4 linked regions of the Drosophila melanogaster genome follow. The protein of the gene in region 1 purifies or fractionates together with the protein of each later gene. This does not show direct contact. Each region holds a gene or a part of one and is shown on either strand. Other genes may lie near its edges. The genes, in order: SPE, Sil1, Tap42 and FipoQ.

What was found.
Region 2: the proteins of SPE (region 1) and Sil1 purify together in Drosophila melanogaster (affinity purification with mass spectrometry, with the first as the bait; one large-scale study listed by BioGRID). This does not show direct contact.
Region 3: the proteins of SPE (region 1) and Tap42 purify together in Drosophila melanogaster (affinity purification with mass spectrometry, with the first as the bait; one large-scale study listed by BioGRID). This does not show direct contact.
Region 4: the proteins of SPE (region 1) and FipoQ purify together in Drosophila melanogaster (affinity purification with mass spectrometry, with the first as the bait; one large-scale study listed by BioGRID). This does not show direct contact.

Annotation. Positions count from the first base shown.
Region 1 is NT_033777.3:23,684,486-23,688,709, forward strand, and holds SPE (Spatzle-Processing enzyme), read left to right. Parts: upstream 1-1,769; 5' UTR 1,770-1,800; coding exon 1,801-1,876; exon of another isoform or gene 1,877-2,052; intron 2,053-2,226; coding exon 2,227-2,619; intron 2,620-2,835; coding exon 2,836-3,145; intron 3,146-3,205; coding exon 3,206-3,629; 3' UTR 3,630-3,662; downstream 3,663-4,224. Other genes in the region: CG18754 (uncharacterized protein), read left to right, coding at 1-220, 696-929, 995-1,391.
Region 2 is NT_033777.3:25,233,102-25,237,134, reverse strand, and holds Sil1 (Sil1 nucleotide exchange factor), read left to right. Parts: upstream 1-1,605; 5' UTR 1,606-1,737; coding exon 1,738-1,873; intron 1,874-1,936; coding exon 1,937-3,090; 3' UTR 3,091-3,499; downstream 3,500-4,033. UniProt on the Drosophila melanogaster protein: Required for protein translocation and folding in the endoplasmic reticulum (ER). Functions as a nucleotide exchange factor for an ER lumenal chaperone of HSP70 family.
Region 3 is NT_033779.5:13,365,766-13,369,521, forward strand, and holds Tap42 (Two A-associated protein of 42kDa), read left to right. Parts: upstream 1-1,851; 5' UTR 1,852-1,958; coding exon 1,959-2,081; intron 2,082-2,151; coding exon 2,152-3,171; 3' UTR 3,172-3,256; downstream 3,257-3,756. Other genes in the region: Nnp-1, read right to left, coding at 1-311; Grx3 (glutaredoxin 3), read left to right, coding at 766-975, 1,040-1,302, 1,366-1,543; CG31855 (uncharacterized protein), read left to right, coding at 3,636-3,756.
Region 4 is NT_033777.3:29,494,502-29,499,423, reverse strand, and holds FipoQ (F-box involved in polyQ pathogenesis), read right to left. Parts: upstream 2,884-4,922; 5' UTR 2,747-2,883; coding exon 2,651-2,746; intron 2,425-2,650; coding exon 2,100-2,424; intron 2,038-2,099; coding exon 1,419-2,037; intron 1,361-1,418; coding exon 1,193-1,360; intron 1,125-1,192; coding exon 921-1,124; intron 862-920; coding exon 726-861; 3' UTR 501-725; downstream 1-500.

The sequences.
Region 1 (4,224 bases):
AAGATGTGTTTGCACACAGGCAGTGTGGCCTGGACCCCAATGGACACGAGTTGTTGCACATGGTTTATGTCTGCTGCCCAGAGTTGGGTGACGTCTTGCCCAACAAACAGACCTGTGGACAAACGACGCCCGTGTTCCGAGATCGGGGTGCCGAGAATGCAGAGCTTAATGAGTACCCTTGGATGGTATTGCTGTTATATGAGAATCGGCTATCCTTGATGTGGAATCAACGAACTGGTTGTGCGGGCTCACTGATCAACAGTCGCTGTTCACACATGAACACGAATATATTTAAAGACTTACAATTTTGGGCTCCGTTCATATCTTATGTAAATGAATCGAGAGCGATAAATTATATTTAGGATTTTGTTATCTAAGGCGACATGGGTGCATTGCTCAAAAACATGTAATTTAAGTGCACACTACATGAGTCAGTCACTTGAGATCTTTCCCCGCCTCCTAAAATAGTCCCTTAGTGGGAGACCACAGATAAGGTCCTCGCCGCTCAAGATAGGCAGATGTGCCCGAGCGTGGGACCTCGATAAGGCGGGGACTATTTACTTAGGCCTCTGCGTAGGCCATTTACTTTAAGATGCGATTCTCATGTCACCTATTTAAACCGAAGATATTTCCAAATAAAATTAGTTTCTTACAAAAACTCAACGAGTAAAGTCTTCTCATTTGGGATTTTACAGTCGCTATGTGCTGACCGCTGCCCACTGCGTGATCGGTGGTTACTTGACGCAGAATGACCTGGTTCTGAAGAGTGTGCGCCTGGGCGAGTCCACTACCGACTGCATCACCTCGGAAAGCAGGTGTCCACATTTGGATGTGGAGGTGGGGCAAACAACAGTACATCAGGGTTTCACTTCGAGTGGCGGAACTTACCGCAACGACATCGCCCTCCTCCGATTGCAATTCCCAGTGCGGTGAGTAGCAGTGATCTCCACCCTAATCTCCACATCTTATGGAAATTTCTTTACAAACCCGCTAGATACACGAAAAAGATCCAACCCATTTGTCTATTGGACGCCGAATTTCCCCTACAGGATTTGAATTTGCAAATCTCTGGCTGGGATCCGACTAAAAGCAGTCAAACGTTGATCACCAGCACGGTCAAGGAAAGGAATCCTGCTGATTGCTTGAATAGGTATCCCAGCTTTCGCTCCGCGTCCCAAGTATGCGCCGGTGGTCAACGGAAAGGGGACACCTGTGCGGGCATCTCCGGCAGTCCGGTAATGGGCATCATGGGAAGCGGCGTCGACGAGTTCGTCTTTTTGGCAGGCATTGCCTCATATGGACAACAATATTGCTACTCTGCTGGTATTCCAGGTGTTTACACAAAAATTGGCCACTTTTCGGAGTGGATCAAAGCGAATTTGGCTCCCTAATTTTAATAAAGAATTCATATTTGCAAAATTGGAATAGCATCTGTTCCATTAATCCACTACTATAAAGTAATAGACCTATAAAACCCCAAAAGATAAGAAAAAGCACTGAAGATTGTTTTTTAAAAAACGTGTTGTTCAAAAAACATAACGTGCCGAGAGAAGATTAAGCATAAATAAATTTCTAATAACTACACCGCTGGGTTTGCCCAGCTCAGCAGAACTACTATGTAAATATTAAGGCAGGGAAAGACCACCCTATTCACATAGCTTTTGCCTTTGTTGCAATCTAGATGGTATTGAGTCCGGAGATAACCTCTGCTAATCACGCCCAATGCATCGGGAGAGAATCGGTGACAGCGAAACTGCCGGACAGCTTGGTTAGTATCAGCTTGGAGCCCATAGCGACGAGATGGCTTCTACGGAACGGAATTTTCTGCTACTGTCACTGGTGGTCAGCGCATTATCCGGCTTGGTCCATCGATCAGGTGGGTAAGCTGTCCTTTGGGCAAACAATATCCACAGCAACTGGATGCAATGGTGCTTCTTTCAAAAGTATATAGTTCTATATATATAGTATAGTATAGTATATAGTTTGAATAAAGCTAGAAAAACTAAGCACTTGACCTTGTTGATTGTGAGAATAAAAACCATAACAACTAATAATCAAAGAGTTTTTGAAAACTTCAAATATATTAAATATCAACATATAGTTTCCCGGACTAAGAAATTTTATGAGAAATATTAGACATGAAGTCCATTAGTAGAATGGATTGCCTTTAATGGATTGGTTCAGAACCGGTTAGACTGCATCGTAAATCGCGCTCTTCTCTTCCAGACGCAGCGGAGATCAGCTTTGGCAGTTGTACGCCCCAGCAGAGCGATGAGCGCGGCCAGTGCGTTCACATCACCAGCTGCCCCTACCTGGCCAACCTGCTGATGGTGGAGCCAAAGACTCCCGCCCAGCGAATCCTTCTCTCCAAGAGCCAGTGTGGCCTGGACAACAGGGTTGAGGGCTTGGTGAATCGAATCCTGGTCTGCTGTCCGCAGAGCATGCGGGGCAATATCATGGACTCGGAACCAACTCCTTCGACGAGGGATGCACTGCAGCAGGGGGATGTGCTGCCTGGAAATGACGTCTGCGGCTTCCTTTTCGCTGATCGCATTTTCGGGGGCACCAATACGACCCTCTGGGAATTCCCATGGATGGTATTGCTGCAGTACAAAAAACGTGAGTAGATTACCTACCCAGGCTCTATTTTAATCTCTTATAGGAAGGTTGTTTCACGAGGTCACCTGTAATCATTTTTTAATCACTTTTTCAAATCAAATTCTCCAATGGGGGGATCATCATTATAAGAAAACGCATATTCAATATATACAAGGCTATTATTAGTATCTAATCAATTTATAATATGTACTTGGGAAACGCTCTTTATCCTTTCAGTTTTTTCTGAAACCTACACTTTCAACTGCGGCGGTGCATTGCTCAACTCGCGCTACGTCCTGACCGCTGGACACTGCCTGGCCAGCCGAGAACTGGACAAATCCGGTGCCGTTCTACACAGCGTTCGCCTGGGGGAGTGGGACACTCGTACCGATCCTGACTGCACCACCCAGATGAACGGACAGCGCATCTGTGCACCGAAACACATCGACATTGAGGTCGAGAAGGGCATCATCCACGAGATGTATGCTCCCAATTCCGTTGATCAGCGTAATGACATTGCGTTGGTGCGCCTTAAGAGGATTGTTAGGTATGTGGTCCAGAGATCCCTCAATTATTCCACTGACTTGCTTTTTTGTTTTTGCCACAGCTACACCGACTACGTGCGTCCAATATGCCTTCCCACGGATGGTTTAGTCCAAAACAACTTTGTGGACTACGGCATGGATGTGGCCGGCTGGGGACTTACCGAGAACATGCAGCCAAGTGCGATCAAGCTGAAGATCACCGTCAACGTTTGGAACCTAACGAGTTGTCAGGAAAAGTACTCCAGCTTCAAGGTGAAACTGGACGATTCTCAGATGTGTGCCGGCGGCCAGTTGGGCGTGGATACATGCGGTGGCGATTCCGGCGGTCCCCTTATGGTGCCTATATCCACGGGCGGCCGGGATGTCTTCTACATTGCCGGCGTCACCTCCTACGGGACGAAGCCCTGCGGCCTCAAGGGATGGCCCGGCGTCTATACCCGCACGGGGGCTTTCATCGATTGGATAAAGCAGAAATTGGAGCCATGATGAATACATACTTAAATACATGATAACCATGTGAAAAGCGCGATGTAGATATTGGGGTTTAATCAATTCACATGAGATCGGCACTGTCAAGTTTTGCGAGCACAACCGGTTGTAATAATATCGAACCACTTTTCTGTCAATCTGTGATCAGCAAAGTCTGGTAGTAGCTTGCCCACGTAATTTCCCATATTCTAATGGAAAAGTAGAGGAAAATCTCTGGAACTCATTTATCTCTGTTGCAATAGCCATCTCACTTGTCAATCTAGACGGCAGATGTGCCGGAGAGCTTGGTCAGTATCGGATTGGGTTCTGGGGTATCGAGATGGCTTCCATGGAATGGAATTTTCTACTATTGCTAATGGTCATCTGCGCATTTTCCGAGTGGGTCCAACATTCAGATGGGATGCCATAAACGACAACGATTTCACCTGGATCCGCTTAAAATTTTGAAATATATCCACACACGAGGTGGAGAAGGGCATTGTACATGACCAATAGTTGCCTAATTCCGTAGACCAGCAGAATGACATTGCTTTGGTTTTGAAAAGGAGTGGCATTGAAAAGGAGTGGCGGGTGTGTGGGATGTGTGAGTATT
Region 2 (4,033 bases), 1.5 Mb from region 1:
AATGCATTATATATATATATAATTTAATTATACATATATAATTTGCACTATATTTCGGCATCTTGTGTACTTTTTATAGATTCAAACTCCGTGAAATGGAATCCGCGCTTTGTTCACACTTTTAATAAAGTGCAAATATCAATTCGTACTTATTGGCTTATGATATTATTCATCCCATATTTGCTTTGAGATCAGCACTTGGAATTGGGAACCTACCTCTGGGGGAATTCCTAAGTGTGCTAAATGGCCAGGCAATCTGAAAGGGAATGATAATGAATAGGTCATGGTTAAGGATCCACGATAAAAATCACTTAAGTTATGAAATTGTATTCCGACCAGAAGGAAGAATGCATCCCAAGGCTCCCAACTATGAAATTTCCGTTTTGGACATATGTACGAAGATAAATCTTTTTGTGGCCAACACAACTCAATTCCGACATAAACCAATTAGACATAGTCGGGCATTTTGGACGACATCAAACAGGTTCCAACGGCATCGATAATCGATAATGGATGGATCGACGGATAAAAGTTGCTCGGCGAGGTGGCTTCACTTTCAAAACTATTGGACAGGCGACGTTCGGAACGGGCCGAGTGAATTTAATTTGGCAAATTCTAGTTAAAGGCTCCTGGCGTTCGTCATCAGCAATTAGCATATACTACATATATACATATGTATATGTATATTTGGTGTGTGATTGGCATGAAACCGGCATTCTGTTTATTTACCCATCCAATTGGCGCCAGGTGAGTCCAAATATTTCACTTTTGTCCACTTTGATGTGTTTGCGCAGCCAATTCCTAGACGCTGTCGTAGACATCGAGATTACAACGGATTTTCGGGGGCGAAATATGGTAATATATGCAAACACGCTTTTATTTTATTACGTCGGGCTTGCCTGCAAATAATTTGGCATTTCAATTTTGAGTTGGTTGATTCATCTGCGCGTAAACATGATTTCGTTTTTCTTTGTAAACTCAGTAAATACGTTTAGTTTATAACTAGTTTAGCTACGTTGTAACGAAGTGGAAAGCTTATGAATGGCGGTTACTTTTCAATTTTTAATGAATTCACGATGAGTTTGGGAATTTTTGGTGGCATTCTGGTTTGATGTGGTTTAATCGTTCTGAATGGCATTAACTTTTTCTGGTTCTTAAATATTAATTTCAAGTCTGGAAATTTCTAGCAATGCTTGTTTTTCACAACAAACTAAGGTTTAAAAATATTAATATTTGTGTTCGTTAGGGATAAAAATTAATTTGTTAGCGAAATAATGTTTGAAATCATTTAAAGTTTCCAACTATTCCGGACTAAGAGCAAAAATTAACCATAAAAATTTTTACTTAATTTTTGTATTACTTATTTATATAAGATTTGGCTTGGAATGTCCAACAGCACAATCTAATAAATATAAAGAAAGATTATAAAGCATACATATAGTTTACACTTTTTCAATACTTTAATATATTCTATTGTTTATAACGAATTTATTGATTACAAATATTTTCAAATTTGAAATTGAATTGTAACCGCCTTTGACTGGTTCCGAATCGACTGGCTCTCCACGGAACATATCGCCACATGCGGTATAATCAATGCAGCTCCCTACGGTCATACTATTAACCACATCCACATCAGAAGTCTGAAATCTGATTTAAAAACTCTCACGAAACTTACTTAAAACCAGGTGAAATAAAGACTGAATACATTCTGGAGGCAAGACAAGCTGAAGCAGTATGAGTGGCAAGCAGGTAGTCATCCTTCTGGGCAGTGTCCTGATCCTGGGATGCTTACAAGTGGCAGCGGCAACGGAAACGGATAACAAAACCAACGATTTCGTGGCCACCGACGAATGGCAGACGATTGCGGAAGGTTAATGGCTAGCCAGGCTAACTCTCGGATGACGTGTACTAAGTGAGCACTCTATATTTCCAGGTCAAGCTATTCCAAGGGGCCTGCACGTGCGCATCAACCTACAAACGGGGCTCAAGGAAGCCAAACTCTTAGACGAAAGCGAACGTGGCACGTCGCTGCAGAGTCAACCGGATGATCAGAATGCTCGGGAATCTCACGATGACAACGAACCCCTGGCTCTGGACTATAAACCGGACATAATCGAGGAGTCTATACGGCGGGTCAAGGAGCAGAAGAAGAGCTATGCCGAGCTACGCAAAGCGTACAAAGAGTTCCAGAAGAACTTTCGCACCGACGGAGAACTGATCGTCCAGTTAATCGATCAGTTTCGGAACTTCAGCAGAACGCCGCTAGAGTCAGAGATGCGCTCCAAGCTGGACTGCCTGGAAAATCTGGAGTATTTGCTCCATCAGATAGACAATGCCTTGATGTTCATTGATAATGGGGGATTGGATGATGTACTACTGCCCATTGTTGTGAACGATACCAGTACATCCCTGAGAGTGTCGGCCATGCGTGTGTTGGGCTCGCTGGCGAGCAACAATCCCAAGGCCCAGATCAAGGTGTTCGAAAAGAATTTCGGGTCTCATCTGGCTCAGATTCTGACCAGTTCCGGAAATGTCGGTGAGATCTCCGCTGCATTGCACGCCTTTGGAGCCTTGTTGCGGAAATTTCCGCTAGCCCAGCAGCGAGTGCTTTCCACCTCGGGTACACAGGCTCTGATCAAGGTGCTCCAGAGTCCGGATGTGGAGCTGCGGAGCAAGGCGAAGGTAGTGACTCTCATAAGCGACCTAGTGCTGGAGAAGCGGTCAGTGCTGGATGTCAGCAAAGATGATCCCGAAGCCTCATCCACAATGGCGCAATATGTGCTCTTGGACTTCGAGTCGTGGCTGAAAACGCCGGGCTACTGCGCGGCGGTGGACACTGTGCTAACCAAGGAGTTCCTGCTCCTCCTAGAGCAACCGGAGGTGGTGGAACAGTTTGCCACCGCATTGGAGACCACCGAAGATATGTGCACCAGCACGTGGTCGCAAAGTTCCGGTCTCAGGCATGCACTATTAACCGTTCGCAATCGGTATGCCAACAGCACGGACGAGTACCGACTGGAGGTGTCCCAGATTTTGGCCAAACTGTGCGAGAGATTGTTCAACAAGCCCAAGCACACCGAACTGTAATCCTAGCCAATTTACTATGTTATTTATGTTAATTTCATTTAATTGTAAGCTGAGTTGGAATGAAATTCGCAGCCAAACCATAGAATACGATAGCTAAGATGCCAAGTACTTGTGATGCAAAAATAATGCTCTTTGTCATTAACTTAGGATAGCAATCAATCATGCCAAACATCTACAGGATTTTCGTTATCAAATATAGTCTCTTACTTAAGATTATTTTAAGTGTGATTTTTTTTTAATAGGCAGACGATTCACCAACGAGCACATCAAAATAATTATGTTGTTACACGTCATTAAACTAGCAAAAATTTGTATGCTACAGAATTGTTCTCCAAACAGATTATGAATCCTTAAAGCCTTAAGTTCTTGTTTATTGTAGCTACAATAATAAAGCAATGACCTAATGTTTAATTTAGAAATTCTTTCTTAAATCAGTTGACTTCTTTTCAGTGGCATATTCTTAAAATGTAGTGCTAAATTATGAAAGGAAATGTATTTTCAATCAAGAAATCGCATTAGGAGATTGGATATTCCACCCCTATAGAACTACAGACCCATTTAAAGCCCGATAAGGCGAGCATAATCGACCGGGCCATAAAGTAAGTCAAAAGTGTCGGAAGGAAAGCAAAAACGCCGAGGAAAGCATGTCCCAAAAAACCACTTGAAGTTTGAATGTGAGCCAAACGAAGCCACAAGAACAGGGAAAACCTGGCACGGAACTGTACAGGAGGAGAAAGGACATCGGAGCAGGAGAGTGCAATTATGTGCCGGCAAAGTTGGAAGTTGGAGTCGAAGTCCAGCGCGGGAATTACAGCAATTAGCGGCAGTCACATGCAAATGCAATGTCACTGGGGCTGAGTCACGACGGTGGATGGTCGGATAGGTGGAGTGGTAAAGGTGAAGCAGCGCCTGGAAGGGAGCCGGCTAGGACGCCGCCTTGGTT
Region 3 (3,756 bases), on another chromosome or scaffold:
AGCTCCTCCTGCACCAGCGGCTTATCCGACATCCACATGGTGTAGTACAATCCCTTCCAGATGCGCATGAAGTCGTCCTCGTTGAAGGGAAAGGAGCTACCGGCACGCGCCTTGAACCACTTGCGCAAAATGCGGATCTGGCGATTACGCTCCACCACATCGTTGCAGGCAAGAGCACGTATAATTTTCACCTCCTGGGCGACCACCATCAGCTCCTTGGCCACCTTCGGCTGTGAAGCGTCCTCCTCCTGCTCGACCTGGATTTCGGCCGCCTCGGCGTTGCGCTTAACTGGCTTCTTGCGCGTCACCATTATCCGGCTAATTCAACTTTTAGTTGCGAAAAATAAGTGAGCTGTGTATATTGAATACGGTACGGCACGACCGCACGTGTTGCCGTTCGATGTTGCCAGATGTTGAAACGACATTTTCTCCAAATTTCGTCCAACAGCTCTAAATGCATGAGCTGTACTGAAAATGACAACAAAAACTCAAGCTAATGAAATAATTTTCAAAGAATAAAATAAAGAAAAAAAGAATAATAAAAAGAATATTTAAATTGCTAGTTTTGATACTTCATGAAACGCTTGCTTTATACATTTTAATACAATTTTATATATTTTTAGCCATTTATAGGTTGTTATTTTATAGCTACCAGCGCTGACTTCTTTACGGAAAGTGGCAACTCTCTTCCACAGCTGATAATTCGGTCTGCTTTTTGTAAATTTTGCTTGTCCAGCAAATTTAGTTAAATAATTCAAAGAAATCATGCCCGTGGTGAACGTGTCGGCTGCCGAGGAGTACCAGAAGTACATTAATGCGGATAAGACGACCGTAGCTCTATTCGCCGCCGAATGGGCAGAGCAATGCGGTCAGGTGAAAGACGCGCTGGAGGAGCTGGCCAAGATTACTGGCGAAAAACTGCAGTTCATCAGCCTAAACGCTGAACAATTTCCCGAGATTTCCATGAAACATCAGGTACGCTCGTATTTATTTTATGAAAATATAACAGTAGTTCCTCATTCATTTGCGATGCCACCAGATCGAGGCCGTGCCCACAGTCATATTCTTCGCCAAGGGCTCCGCCGTTGACCGTGTCGATGGTGTAGACATCGCCGCCATAAGCGCCAAATCCAAAAAGTTGGCCGAAAACGCAAGCAGCGCGGCGGCAACAGGACAAACGTTGGAGGAACGCCTAAAGGCCCTAATCAATACAGCTCCGCTGATGATATTCATGAAGGGCGACCGAAATGGACCGCGTTGCGGATTCTCCAAGCAGCTCATCGGCATTGTGAACGAAACCAAGTATGCAAATTGATCATCAGTTGTATTTGATTTCAAGTTATAAACGAAAATATCCTTCGATAGCTTGCCGTACGAGACATTTGACATCCTCGGCGACGAAGAAGTGCGTCAAGGCCTGAAAACCTACTCCGACTGGCCCACATATCCCCAGGTTTACGTCAAGGGTGAACTTATCGGCGGACTCGATATTATTAAGGAACTGCTGGCGAACAATGAGCTCGAGTCCACGCTAAAGGGCTAATTCCATCGGATTGCATCTACTCCTACAGACACCATAAACCAGAAACAAATTTTTAGCTAGATCCTTAGACTTTTTAATGGTTTAATAAAGGATTTTTGCTACATTCTGGTATTATTTTATTCATCGAAATTTTTAATAACAATTGTATTAAAGCAAATGTGCTATAGGTCATCCATAAGACATCTTACACGGGCTTCAATGGTGTCACCATAAATGTTTACAAACTTAACGACATAAATATAGCTAGAAATTTGTAAGAACTTTTTTATACACCAGCCCTGGTTTATCTGGTATTTTGCGTACCTTCATTTTGTAAACAGCTGTTTCGGCGTCGGCATCTTGCACATTATTTTCGCAATATTATTTATATTATTGAAAATACCCATTAACTATAAACTTATATCCAAATCTTTAAATGGCTGAGGGTAATACCGCTGGCGGAGAGGACCAAAAGCTGACGGACATCTTTCTAAAGGGCTGGAACATATTCGACGAGCTAGAAGTTACCGAACTGCCCTTCAATGGCAGCGAATTTCAGGTGTGTAATATTGAAGATCTTCATATATATGTAATAAAAACCAGCATTGAACGTTTACCACAACGTTTAGAACAAAGTGAAGACTGCAATGGGCCTTTTCGAGCAGGCCACCGTCATTGTGAACCAGGTTAGCATGTTCAGTGCCAACGAGTTGATCGACGAGGTGTCCACGGAATCGCTACCATTCATGCTGCTCCCTTACTTTCTGGGCAAGCTTACCACTAAGATCAACAGCCCCAATAACACACACTCCATAGAGCTGGGCGAGATTTACTTCAAGGACCACCTGCAGCGTTGCCAGGAGTATGATCTCTGTGCAGCGCCCAAATCTCAGGTGGCTAAGGCGGATAGCCAAGCGGAAAAAAGCGAGCAGCGCGAGCTGGTAGAGGCAGCCTTCAATAGAAACGACAAAATAGCCCAGTATCGCCGGATGAAGGAGATTGACGAGTATATGGCCAGAATGCGCGATGCAGTCAAGAACAAAACGGTCGACGATGAGGATAAACGTGTCTTTTTCCTCAAGTATTTGGACAAGAGTATAATAGACTCCAAGCAGGAATTAGAAACATTGGGCGTAATGAAGCAGCTGGCCCAGATGCGCCTTGCCCGATTGGCTGGTGGCGAATCCGACAACGAAGTGGATTCGTTCCGTCCACCGAATCAAAATCAATCTTCTGCATCGTCCACCTCCCGCGGTCATGGTCACAGCCACGGACCCGGACACCACCACCATCATCAGCAGGCCGCTAAGCCAAAGCCCTTGCAGCCCTTCATCATAACACGTAATGCCACCCAGAAGGCGGTTTTCGGCTTGGGATACCCCAGTTTGCCCATTATGACTGTTGATGAATTCTACCAGCAGCGCGTCGACGAGGGCATCTTTCCTGATGAGGAGAAGGTTGCCAAGATGAATCAGGCACAGGCCATCGCGGCCGCCCGGGATCCCAACGAAAAAGAGGACGAGGAGAAGGCCGTTGAGGAGCTACAGGCGGAGCAGGATGATCCCGAGTATATAGACCGCATGAGGCGCATGGATGAATACAAGGATGTGGTGCGTCGCGGTGACGGCAACCGTCATAACCGTAGTTAAGGAACTCAAAATTTATGTATTTTTTTAAAACCCAATAAAATGGTATAACCGCAAGACTGGTTTTAAGTCAGTATATTCAAAAAATAATTCTAGTTTCTAAATTTATTTATAAATCCTAGGGATGCGCTATTGATAAAATAAAAATTGTTTTCTTTTTTATTGAATTGACAATATATACAGTAAATAAATAGTTAGAATAGTTCCACTGTTGCAGTATTGGTAGGCGTTTGGCTGTAATCGCGCATTTTGCAGCACTGATTGTCACCACCAGTAACAAAAACAAAAATCTCAAGCACAAGTTAAATTTTTGTGAGTTGCTACACAAAAAACGTAAAAGAGAAGACAGTTCTCTCGAAATATTGATAGATCAACAAAGATTAAAGTGAGGTGTGTTAAAATACAGCAGATACGTGGTAGTATCAAGTGTTAACACTTTTCGTACTCTGCAGCAACCCAAAAGCAGAATGTCAGTACGAGACTTTATCAAGGGTCTGCCCATACACGATTCGAGCAATTTTACCCATTTGAGCAACGAACATGGAATTCGAACGTCGCAGAAGCGTGCCTCCGTCTACCTGCCCACCG
Region 4 (4,922 bases), 5.8 Mb from region 1:
TCGACCACAGCACCCACCTTCGATCCTATATCGTCATAGGCACAGACATTACGTATGTATAACTCACGCAGCTATGCTTAACTAAATTATATACCATGCATATAATAGCTGAACGCTGATCGGCAATGAGACGATAATTCAAACGGAGATGATCTACATATGTACGTTAAGTTTATGGTAAAAAGTCGATTCAAAAATGTTGAAACATACACACACAAAAAAAAAATTAAATTAGCATTAAGTTTGCAATGGATGAAAGCAGTGTAAAAATCATCAGCAAAACGCTAAAACGCAAAAACGATAAACATTTTATGTGGTGAAGTCTGAAAATGATTTAATCAAGTTACCAAGTAAATCTAGTTAAAAACAAAACACGAATCAACGCGGATTGAAATGATTAAAAAAAAAAAAAAAATGATTTAAAAACGAGAGCAAGGCGAAAAGTTGCGTTGTATAATTTTGTAATGTAAAAATAACTTGTATAAGCAAATCCTTGTTTTGTTTTTATTTAAATTACCTATGTACGTTTATTTAGATTTAAAGTAATTAAACGAAAGAAGCGGAAAATACAGAAAACATTAAAACACTCTTATTGTAAGCGAAAACACACAGAAACATTGCTTCTCCTCCGGCCCTGTTGTGGGTAAATCCCATCCAGAGCTCTGCAACCGGGTAAGTGCAAGCTACCAATCCTCTCTTGGCTTTCAGCTCTGAACCTCAGAGGCTCAGTTGAAAATCAAATCGTTGTAGTTGCGGAGCAGGTGATAGGGAGACACACGGCAGCAGGTGGTGGTGCGCACCACGGTGATGCGATCGGCACGCTCAAAGTTGGCCTTGACCGTCTCATAGTAGCGACCATCGCTGGAAGCGAAATATTGATGTTAATCCCGCATAGAAATAGGAGTCTGATGTAGACCCACCTGAGCACCATGCAGCGCAGCTTGAGGCACTTGACGCGCAGAATATCGATGGCCTTCTGGCTCTTGTCGGAGAAGCGCAGGTTGTCCGGATCCCAGCGCAGCTCCAGCCGCTCCAAGTTGCCGCAATTCGAGGCGATGGTGTCCATCAGCTGGTCCACGTGGATGTTGACGCCCAGCTTCTCTGCGGTGCCCATAACAATGATCCTGCAGGTTAAGAAAGTTCAGCTCATAATAAAATGTCTTTTCATTCGATGACCAATAGTGTCGCCTACTTGCAGTTGCCCAGCAGGGGCAGGATGCTCATCCACAGCTGGTCGGTGATGTGGGGCATGCCCGAGAGACAGCAGGCGCTCAGCTGATGACCCTGGCGCTGTATAAACTTAAGCAGGCCCTCATCCGAGATGTTGTCCGAGGAGTCCAAGTCCAGGGAAATGAGCGACCTAAATCATACTGCTATCGGAGTGCTTACACAGACGGGTAGGTACTGTCTCCGCTCACCTGGTGGTGCCCGATTCCATCCACTGCTTGAGAACGCTGTCGTTGAAGCCATTGATCTGGCCGGCTGAGAGGAACTTGAGGCTGGGGATCCTGCTCAGCATGTCCACGAGGCATTCGGTCGAAAGATCGGTGGCCGTGATGTCCAGCTCCTGCAGGGCGCACTTGTCCCACTCGGCCTGCATGACGAACTCCGACTTCAGGCTGGTGCCGTTCATGAGCAGGCAGGTGAGGCGCTTGGAACGCTGGATCAGGGTCTTCAGGGTGGAGCCGGTCACTTTGTTGCAGAAGTTGACGGCCAGGCACTCCAGCTGGATGCAGTTCGAGCTGAAGGCGTCGATGTGCGAGTCATCGATGAAGTTGATGCCGTACAGGTTGATCACACGCAAATTGGGCGTGGCCGACTTGAGCTTGTGCACGTTGATCACCTCGTAGATCTCCTCCTCCTCCTCCTCGCACTTCTCGTACGTGCCAATTAGATGCAGCACCTCCAGGCCGTTGATGAAGTTGTAGATTTTGCGCATGAAGCCCTCCATGAAGATCACCTCCGAGAGGCAGACGCACATGTAGCGCAGCTTGGTGGGAAAGGCCTGCATCTCGCTGAAGTCGTGCAGCTGCATGGCTAAGAAGTACACAGGACACTCTAGAGTTTAAGACGGACGATCGGCGACGTGGCGCACCCACCTGTGGAGAAGTCCAGCAGCATGTGGGTCAAATTGGGGCACTTGGCGGACAGTTCGTGGAGCACCGTGTGCGTGATCAGCTCGATGGGCAGCTCGATGTAGCGCAGAGTCGGTCCGAATCTCACCGAGATCAGCTGCAGCAGCATCTCCAGCGAGCCCACGTGCAGTCCGGAGACCTCCGGTCGCAGGCTCACGTTCTTCCACAGCCGCGTGTCGTATGCAATCTGCCGCCATCGTCGGCAAATCCTGGCCAGGCGGCAGATCTCGCGGTGCGACAGATACGAGAAGATGTGCAGCAGCACCTTGTCCGGCAGCTTCTCAATGGTCTGTGGATGAGAGTCACGATATATAGTGGTATATCCTATGGTACTACATAAGTGATTCAAATATGATCTCTAAATGTAAATCTAAACGACAGTTCGGAATAGTTGAGTGCGAATGTGGTGCTATATATTCTACGGGTGAGTGAATCTATAGATACTCTCTCTTACGCCACAGACTGGCTCTCCCAAATGAGTGGGATCCCTAAGTAATATCCCAAACCCATCGTACCGTATCGGCGAAGGGACTGCGAACTGTGCCGTCGGAGAGGTAGACCTGCGATGCCTCCACGGCCAGCTGACCCCAGATATCGGTGGATATATCCATGGCTGGGTGTGGATGATTCGGAACCACTTGCTTATATAAAAAAAAAATATAGCTACACACGGGGCAAACTACGCGTGCTCTGCCTGCGAGGCGAGAATATCCGTCGTATCGAGCTACTTTCGCGCTACTGCGAGCCGCATTCCCATCGACGTGCCATCGGAATCTCCAAAGATCCGCCAGGCAGTAGTAGACTCAAGAGAACCCTAGGCTTATTTATAGACCAGCGCCAGTAACGAGAGCACTGCCACATCGCATCACTCAATCACTCTACTTTCGGATGCATCAGCTGTGCTGTTCACGGGCGACGCACCACACCACTCACGCACTCTTTAAGAACAAATAGAACCACTAGAACCACCAGCACCACTCACCCAGCGGTGCACGTGGAGAAACATGCTGATAAAATCCCTGCCAAATCTCTTCCTTTCCTCGTCAGATTCAAAATCATTAGTAAGCTGTATAAAAGTATCTCGAGATATTTTACTATATTTTACTTATATCTAAAAGTATCTGATATTGCTGATAGTATCTACCTTTTGTAGGTTCGGATAACCTATGGATTCATCTTAAGATATTTCTACTTCTTAGATACTTTAAGATGCATCTGAAAATGCTTCTGTTTCCCGAGGAATAACCTTCTGAGCTTTATCCTTTAGCGCCTACTTTAAGATACATTTCCGCACAGCCTGCTTTTGCATATATATATTTAATAGTAATAATAGATTTCGAACCCCTTTTACTTTCTCAGTGCACAATGTTTGTTGCCAAGAATTCTATATATACGCCATCGTTCGTCTGTCTGGCTTTGTTTTGTTTACTACATCTAATATGTATATCTATCTGCACATGTGTATGTTCTATGTACAGGGTACTCACCAGTCGGGTCTTCACCACGCCAGAGTCGTGGAGTCCGATGGCCTGCGAGGAGGTTTGCGCTGCCAAAACATTCCAATTATCCATGGTGGGCACTGCGCTCTAGTTCGCGATTTGGATTGGGATCAGCCGGAAAGCTGAAGGTGTTCGCTGTCTCAGCTGTACAATATGTATGTATGTATGGTCTTGCTGGATCCGTCCGCTTCTATCTATGTATCTATGTATCTATGTATCTAACTAAGGGAGGAGATGTGCCGGCTATACTCGCATGAGATACATTCATTCATGAGCTAAACTATTTCTGCAAGGCTTTCCCAATTAGTCACACTGAATTCTGAGCATTTCAAACTAATTGTTATTTAGAAATTATTAGTTTACAAGCAGCTAAGCTAATTAAATTACCACATTTTGAAGCAAATTAATAGGAAATCTATATTCAGTAGTCTATTAGTTCTGGAAAGTATAAGTATATTAAGTAAGCAAGCGAAAGCAGTTAGTTAAAACTTCGTTTTTACTATGTTATTTACCCATTTGATTAGTTGATCAAACGAAATTGTTAGACACTTTCCGCAAATAAACGAGTGCGAGAAGGAAAGCTTTTAATTAATTAATTAATTGATGCCCGCAGGCGATTAAAATAGCAAATTCACAATTATGCAAACTCAGTGAACACACACACATTGTTCACTTGCGACTTTTGATTTTCGACGAGGATGGGCGTCACATCTGAATTTGTTTCATCCTTCGCCCGGTTTATTAATAGTTTTCCCTCAGCTGGTGGATCTGGTGGAAAAAACTGTTGGGGTTGCAAGTGCAACGTGGAAAGTGCAGTTTCGTAACTTTAGCACTTTCGTTGCAAGTTGAAAAAAAAAACTAGGGAAATTCACTTGGCAAATTCACTTATTCTGTTGCAAATTACTGGCAAATCGGATTGATAAATTCCGGCGAAAATCGACGGATTCTGCGGCTTTACATGGGCGAATGCTCCGCGTTCTCGACGGCTCCACAACTCTGAGAAAACTGAGAAAATCAGGCGTCCGCGGAAAATGGTTTATGCCAAAATTCACTCGGCTAGTTGATCGTACTACATGCGGAGTACATGGCTACATGGGCATCTGGGGATCTGTGGATCTGTGGATATGGAGGGGTTATTCGGGGCGATCTCTGCGAGTGCAGGCGTCATTTGCTTTTCCCATGGCGAGCGGCCAACAGAGGGGCGGTTGCCCAGGGGGCGTGGTCGATCGTTGGGAAACAGATATTACAAATGCTAGAAACTACAAAAAATCACTTCTTATGATTTGAG